Rattus norvegicus: one gene and its partner. The main gene of each other region encodes a partner of the protein of the gene in region 2 in a complex. Links are inferred from orthologs where the notes say so. Each region holds a gene or a part of one and is shown on either strand. Other genes may lie near its edges.

Evidence for each region.
Region 1: Nup43 (region 2) and Nup37 share a complex: the UniProt entries of both Homo sapiens proteins name them as parts of the nup107-160 subcomplex of the nuclear pore complex. The link is inferred for Rattus norvegicus from reciprocal best matches to the Homo sapiens genes NUP43 and NUP37.

The regions. Positions count from the first base shown.
Region 1 is NC_086025.1:24,485,175-24,487,856, reverse strand, and holds part of Nup37 (nucleoporin Nup37), read right to left. Parts: intron 1,892-2,682; coding exon 1,710-1,891; intron 1,394-1,709; coding exon 1,343-1,393; intron 1-1,342. UniProt on the Homo sapiens protein: Component of the Nup107-160 subcomplex of the nuclear pore complex (NPC). The Nup107-160 subcomplex is required for the assembly of a functional NPC.
Region 2 is NC_086019.1:3,966,991-3,971,353, reverse strand, and holds the start of Nup43 (nucleoporin Nup43), read right to left. Parts: upstream 2,889-4,363; 5' UTR 2,862-2,888; coding exon 2,742-2,861; intron 2,436-2,741; coding exon 2,313-2,435; intron 1,353-2,312; coding exon 1,275-1,352; intron 469-1,274; coding exon 288-468; intron 1-287. UniProt on the Homo sapiens protein: Component of the Nup107-160 subcomplex of the nuclear pore complex (NPC). The Nup107-160 subcomplex is required for the assembly of a functional NPC.

The DNA of each region.
Region 1 (2,682 bases), on a different chromosome or scaffold from region 2:
CATGGTCTCTACATGGAGACACAGGCATCTGCATGTAACAGGACAGACGGCCAGCATTCTTTGACACTAAGTTACCTGGTCTCAGACATTATTACTGTTTAACAGCCCATCTGTTCTCTGTACCAACTGAATCTCAGCTGGGTTCTGCCAGCGTTCAGTTCTAGGCTGAGACATAATTGGCGTGAGGAAGTCATAGCTTCTGACAAACATGGAGGGCTCCTTTCTGTCCTCTGGTCGCTCAGTGAGCCACAGCCTCACCATTCCTTAGGTTGGCAGGTCAGTGAGCTCCCAGGGTCTACCGGTCTGCACTCCCCAGGGCGGGGCAGGGTAGGAGCTTTGAAGTCAGGTCTCCCCACTCAGCCGAGGCTTTAAGGAGAAGAGCTGCTAACACATGCTGAGATGAGAAGGCCTCCTCTGCAGTTCTCACAAACCATACATAAGTCACTGGTTTCAAAAATATTTGATCATATCTCTGAACTTTGGATTATTTCATAATAATCTATGGAAATATATAAATATATAATTTATTTCATATTCACTGGTGTTTGGCCTGCATGTGTGTCTGTGTGAGGGGGTTAGAAGCCCTGAAACTGGAGTTACAGACAGGCATGAGCTGCCATGCAAGTGGTGGAAATTGAACCTGGGTCATCTAGAAGAACAACCAGGGCCTTTAACCACTGAGCCATCTCTGTAGTCCCAATCTATGGGATTTTAATACTATACTGATTATATTTCATTCTTAATAATAACGAAGTCCTGGTAATTTTTACTAGCGATATTTCAGACATGATTTAAAAATAAAACAAAAAAACCAGCAAATTACAAATGTCTCACTGTTCTTAGCTTTTTTTGCTTTTCCTGTCATTTAAGGCTGCCTAATGATAATACAATGGAATAAAATGACAAAAACCAAAATATGTTAATGCAAATAAAAAACGAAAACATAACAAAATAACATGTAACTGGCATGTTCAAGACATATTAGTGATCTTGGTGTGCACACATAGGTCTATGCGCACTTGTACAGAGCACCACAGGGGAGGAGGCAGGCAGCACAAGCCATCCTGACCTTGAGGTAGACTGGTAGACTGGCTACATGGTTTCTGTGAATTACAAACATTTCCTAAGTGGTTGAAAAATAAATTTCCTGCTTACCTAAAGCAAAAGACAAAGCAACTACTTAGTAGGGAAAAGAAAATAACCCCTATAAAGCAACAGAGAGACAAAAGAGGAAAACCAATCCCCCACAGTCCTATGTAAAGAGGAGGGCAGGGAAGTCATCCTGGCCGTGGAATACACTAAATCAAGGATTCACACAACCGCAGCAGAAACCGCACATTACCTAAACGAGTGTGCGCGATCCATGTGGACAGGTCTTGTCTCTTGAGGATAACTAAAAAATAAGAGTTTACGTTGTACAAAATATGTGTTAGATTCAAGTAGATGAACTTCAATGAAGGTTTTTAAGGTGTTTTCTTTTTGGAGCCCAATATATTTAAGCTGTAACAAAATTCCAAGCAAGCGCTCAATTGGAAATAGCGAGCAATGGACACGGCTTAGAGCCGCTCTGGGCTCTCCAGGGACAGCATCTCTTCTTTTTCTACAGGAGACACTTGTTTTCATTGCACATGGAGTCTACAAGAATGGCTAAATGGGTCATTTGACAACATATTTATGTAACAGAACAGACAGACATACTACATAACTACCTGGACCGAGTGATATCCCAGATAATCCAATCATTTCCTGCAACAGCACCAACTTTGAAGGTGTTTTTCAAGCACCAGTGTGCTGACATTAATGGTGTCTGTTCTGACTGAAGAGATAAAATTGCCTGCTGGGCCATTAGATCATAAAACCGGATTGTTCCGTTCTTCTCTGCGACCATTAGCTGTAATACAGGACGGAAGAAGAAAAGCCCGCATGTGTCTCGTTAGCCAAGTTTGAGAAAGAAGCAGAGATTACATGTCATAAAGACATATATCACACACATGTATATATACACACACATATCACACACATGTATGTGTATATACATACATATATATATATATACACACACACACACATATCACACACAGAGGCAGACGCATAGGAAATGAAGCAGTGAGTGTCAGAGGTACCTATAGACTTGGACAAGCACCTAGTAAATACTGAACTCTTAAATTAGGAGAGAGTAGCTATTATTAGTTCCTCTCTATTTCCTTTTTATAAGATTCCAATAATTAAAAAAAAGTTTCCCATAATTTTAAATGTTTAATAAATTGTTATCAAGATGTGAAATATGTAACCAAATTCAAAAATTTATAAAGTAAATGCCAATTAAAAAAATTACAGTATGAAAGTTGTTTCTTAGACTTATGAAAGCATGTCATACAATATGATTTATAATGGACAAGATTTCTCCAATTCTGCTGGATACAGCATTAATCCCTAATATCCAAAGAATATCTTTATCTACTGTGTAAAGTGCCTTCTTTCTGAGAAGGTTCGTCTAATTTTGCTGATTTAAAGGTGCAGACATCTAGAAGTGTGAGGTAGCAGTGACGAGGTGGAAGAAGGGGGGAGTGGCGTCAGAAATCTCACTTCTAGTATTTAAGGTATTGAATGGTTTGGAGTTTGCTTTGTAATTATTTACAAGAGGGAAAGCAAATCACAAACAGAATGCACAAAGAAAAATAC
Region 2 (4,363 bases):
CCATGCTATTCCACATTTTCTAGTGTCATATTTTAGTATTATTTATGGTATAGAATTGAGAATATACTAATTGCCACTGTCCCCTAATTATGTGATAATTTTAGCTAAAACAAAACACTACCACCTAATACATCCTTCTGCTGTTATAAATCATTTACACTGGACTACCCACACACTATCTTATCAAGGATCCTGCCAAGTGTAATTTTCATACCCTTCAAACTTTTAAGATCATGTTTACTTAGTCCAATTACTATGTAATGGATAGAAGAAATAGGACTCCTTACCTATAGTTCTTACAGCCTCCTTGTGATCAACTCTGAAGAGATTTATTCGGCCATCCTCTCCAACTGTAACGATTTCTGGATTGTCGCATACAATTCCTGTACATGGTGCACTGCTATAGGAAGGGCTGCCAGGACCTGTATGGTAGTGAGCTGTAGGCCACTGCTGACTGACGGACAGGGTCTAGGCATCAGAAATGAGCACACTGTTAATCAGAGCCAAGTTCTAATGAAAGCCCTTCTCGCTAGGAAGTTTTGTATTTTGAGACAAACTTCCAAGTGTTTAGGATTACAGGTGAGCCACTATGCCTGCCTAATAATAGTATTTTTCAGTTGTATTTCATGTCCCTCTAGAAGAAAGAACAAGTCTCCCTTTTCTTTGTATTTGAGCATACTGATGTTTAGAAACTACTTCCCTTATTTTTTTTTTTTTTTTTTTTGGTACATTCTGAATAGACTCAGCACATTTATCTCAAACTAATGATTTTTACCAAATAACTGAATGCTGATACATTCTCTAAAGTTTTATGAGATTAAACTCATGTGTAAGGGGCTAACCTCTACATTTTTCTATATGATTCCATTAAGAAAACTAATTAAAGCTGGGTATAGTGCCACACACTTGGGAAGCCAATGTAGGCCGGGTTGGTCTACATAGGGAGTTCCAGACCAGCCAGATCTACATAGTGAGAACCTGTCTTAAAAAACAAAAATAACAAAAAAAGGTATGTGCATGCACGTGTGCCTGCCTAAGTTTATGTGCACTATACATGTGCAGGTGCCTTTCCAGGCCCATGGGATTTAGATCTGGACAAAGTGGAGCTATAGGCTATTGCCAATGATTTGAGTTCTTGGAGTAGGACCATGGGTCTCTGAGAGCAATACACACTCAATTGCTGATTGATCATCCCAGCCACAACAGAAAGTTCTCTAGGTAGTGGATCCTCTCTCTTAATGAAGACCTGGCTTCTCCCCAACAAAATTCTTTACCTGGTTATTTGGATGGTGAAGAAAAACTGTTACACATCCTGTTGACGAAGCAGCTACAATTCTTTCCTGGTCAAAAAACTAAACAGAAAATTTCTGCATATTATTATAGATTACTTTAAAATATTAACAGGGAAAAAAGTTCACTGGCTCAACCTGACTTATAGCAAACCCTATACAAATTTAAAGAAGCAAATAACCTATATATATATATTAAGCAAATTTTTTACCAAGTAAAATATATGACATCTGAATCCATATACAGATTTGTTTTTTGATTGAGGCGAGCTCCTGGTGGGGTGGGTGATGCTGGTGGTCTCTATTGCCCAAACTCATCTTGACTTGTTACTTCAGTTTCCTAAGTAGCTGGGACTACAAGCATCTATCACTAGCCCAGCTTTGAAAATTTATTACTGGTTCACATTTTGATAAACCTTTAAAATGGAAACGCCAAGTTGTTAAAGAATCTCATAAGAACAATTCCGCACGATATTTACTATGTATGCTCAAAAGATACCAGCCCCATTTATCTGACCAAGTAAAGTAGTAACTAGCACTTGAGGGTGGGGATACATACACTAGAAGTAGAGAGCACTTCTCTACATTCATCTGGTCTTTAGACCATCTTCACAATGATAACCCTGACTCACAGATGTGCAATACAAAATAGCAGACCTGTATCAAACTCGCCAAAAGCATTTGGCACATAGATAGACAAATATTATTGTTATTTAAGATAAGGTCTTGCTATGTAGCCCAGGCTGGCCTTGAGATCCCTCCTGCCTCTGCATCCCAAGAACTGGAATTAGAGGCTTGAACCACCATGTCTGGCTTGGGCAATTCGTTTTAAAACTGGCTTACCTGAATTCCATTTCCCAGCCCCACTTCTGTGACTAAGTGCCTAAACAATGAGGGGGCAGATTTCATAGATTAGTGTCCTGTAAATCAGGGATGAGGGCAGACAAACTATAAGGTGCCTCGTTACCTCTAAATATAGCCTCAAATTCCCAAAGCTAGCTTTGGCAGACAACTCAGATTTACCTGTAAGTCCATGACATCCCCATGATGTCTGATATCGCACAATAACTGATGGTCTCCTTCAAACCCTCCGTCAGAATCCAAGTTTCCAAACTCTCCAATAGACCACAGTGAAACGCAATTTTCCTGCAAAGCGGACAGTTTTATCTTGAGGTGACGAAAACGTCAACTCTAGATTGCCTTTCAGGCGACCTTGCTTCAACAGCATCTCAGACAAACGATATGGTTAGAGTGGAAAAGATCAAAGATATGGCCAAGTTCGGACGGTATGACTACAGACTTGCTGAGGGTTTAAAACCAGATCCGAGGCTCAGACACGCCATCGGGGGCTCTCAAGTAGCGGGCAGCCAAACCAGACTGGCAAGCTCGCTTTCCCGCGCCAGTGCGGGGGGCGTGGAGCACAGCAGCTGGGGCCCGCCCAAGTCCGGGTACCTCATTGTCCCAGGAGCCCGTGGCGAAGGTCTCTGTGGTCTGCAGGCTTCCGGAAGGCACTGGCCGCCAGCGGGTTTTGCTAATTTTCTGAGACACGAACTTAGCATAAATTTCCTCCATGCTGAAGCCAGCAAGAAGGTTCAGCAGAAAGCACACTGCGCGCTCCTCAGGCCCGCCCCTTCCTGTGAAGTTCTGATTGGATAAGACCTCATGTGGGAGACGGTGGCTGCAGATAGCCAATTCTCGTCAGCAGGAGGACACACTATCCCCTGGGCTAAAAGAGCTTGTGACGCTCATTCATGCAGGCAGCTCTGAACAAAGACCAAACCCTTTGACAAAAAGACACATTTCCAATGCCAAATAAGTCTAAGGGCACTGACAATATATTTGTGCAATAACTGTGTAATCCCAGAGGAAATTTTCTTTAAAAAATTAAGGGTTTTATTTTTTTATAAAAACTTTATTATAAAAGTGTTTCAAATAAAAAAAAATTATCACACACCGAAATTAATCTGGCCCCAAAAATTAGACAGCCCAATGTACTTTTGTGCTTTTAGCGTAGCCATGCTGAAACTGTGGAACTTCGTATTAGATATTATACTTTCACTATCTAATATACATTTATTTTATTATCAAATATATTTTAAATGCAATCATCCACCACCAAAACTAAAAGGTTCATTACAGATTTAGAACTCAGACAATTACCTTCAATATTATTCTTTGATAACTTAATTTAAATAAAAACATTATTCATTTTTAAAAAGATTCTAAAATTGTATGTGCATGAATGTTTTGTTTGCATGTACGTGTTGTGTACTGTGTGTTCATGCCTGGTGGTAAGGCCAACAGAGGGGATTGGAATCTCTGGAATTTGAGTTACAGAAAGTTATACCCTGCCATGTGGGTGCTAGGAAATGAACTCAGGTCCTCTGGAGGAGCAACGTGTATTTTTAACTGCTGATCCATCTCTCTAGCCCTTAAAACAACTTTATTTTTACCATTTTAATTAGTCATATGTATGTATCTGCAGGCACATATGTGCATGTGAGGGCAGGTCCCTGAAGATATGAATGTCCTGGACTGGAGTTATAGGCAGGTGGGAGCCATACCCTTGTGGGTGCTGAGAAGCCAACTCTAGCCTCTCTGACAGAGAAAAATCTAGAAGTAAAAATTAAAACAGAATAATTCAGGAGGATGTATGTGCACCAGCTCTACACACTTAGTTGTACTTCATTGTACATAAAAAATACTTTAAAAACCGTTAGGGCTGGAGGGATTGCTTAACCACTAATAACACTTGTTTCGTCCACAGGGCCGGGGTTCACTTCCCAGTACCTGTATCTCTGGTGGCTCACATCCATCCATTGGTACACATAAAGCGCCCAAACATACCTTCAGGCAAAAACAAGATCGGAAAGGGTTGTACGTGTGTTTAAATCTCACCACTCTGGAGACACAGGCAGATCTCTGTGAGTTCCAGGCCAGCCTGGTCTACATAATGAATTTTAGAATGGCCAGAGTTACATAGTGAGACTCTGTTTCAAAAACCAAAACAAAATATCAAAACATCCATCTACATAAAACCTAAAAAAATGCTTAACCTCCCCATGTAGGACTGG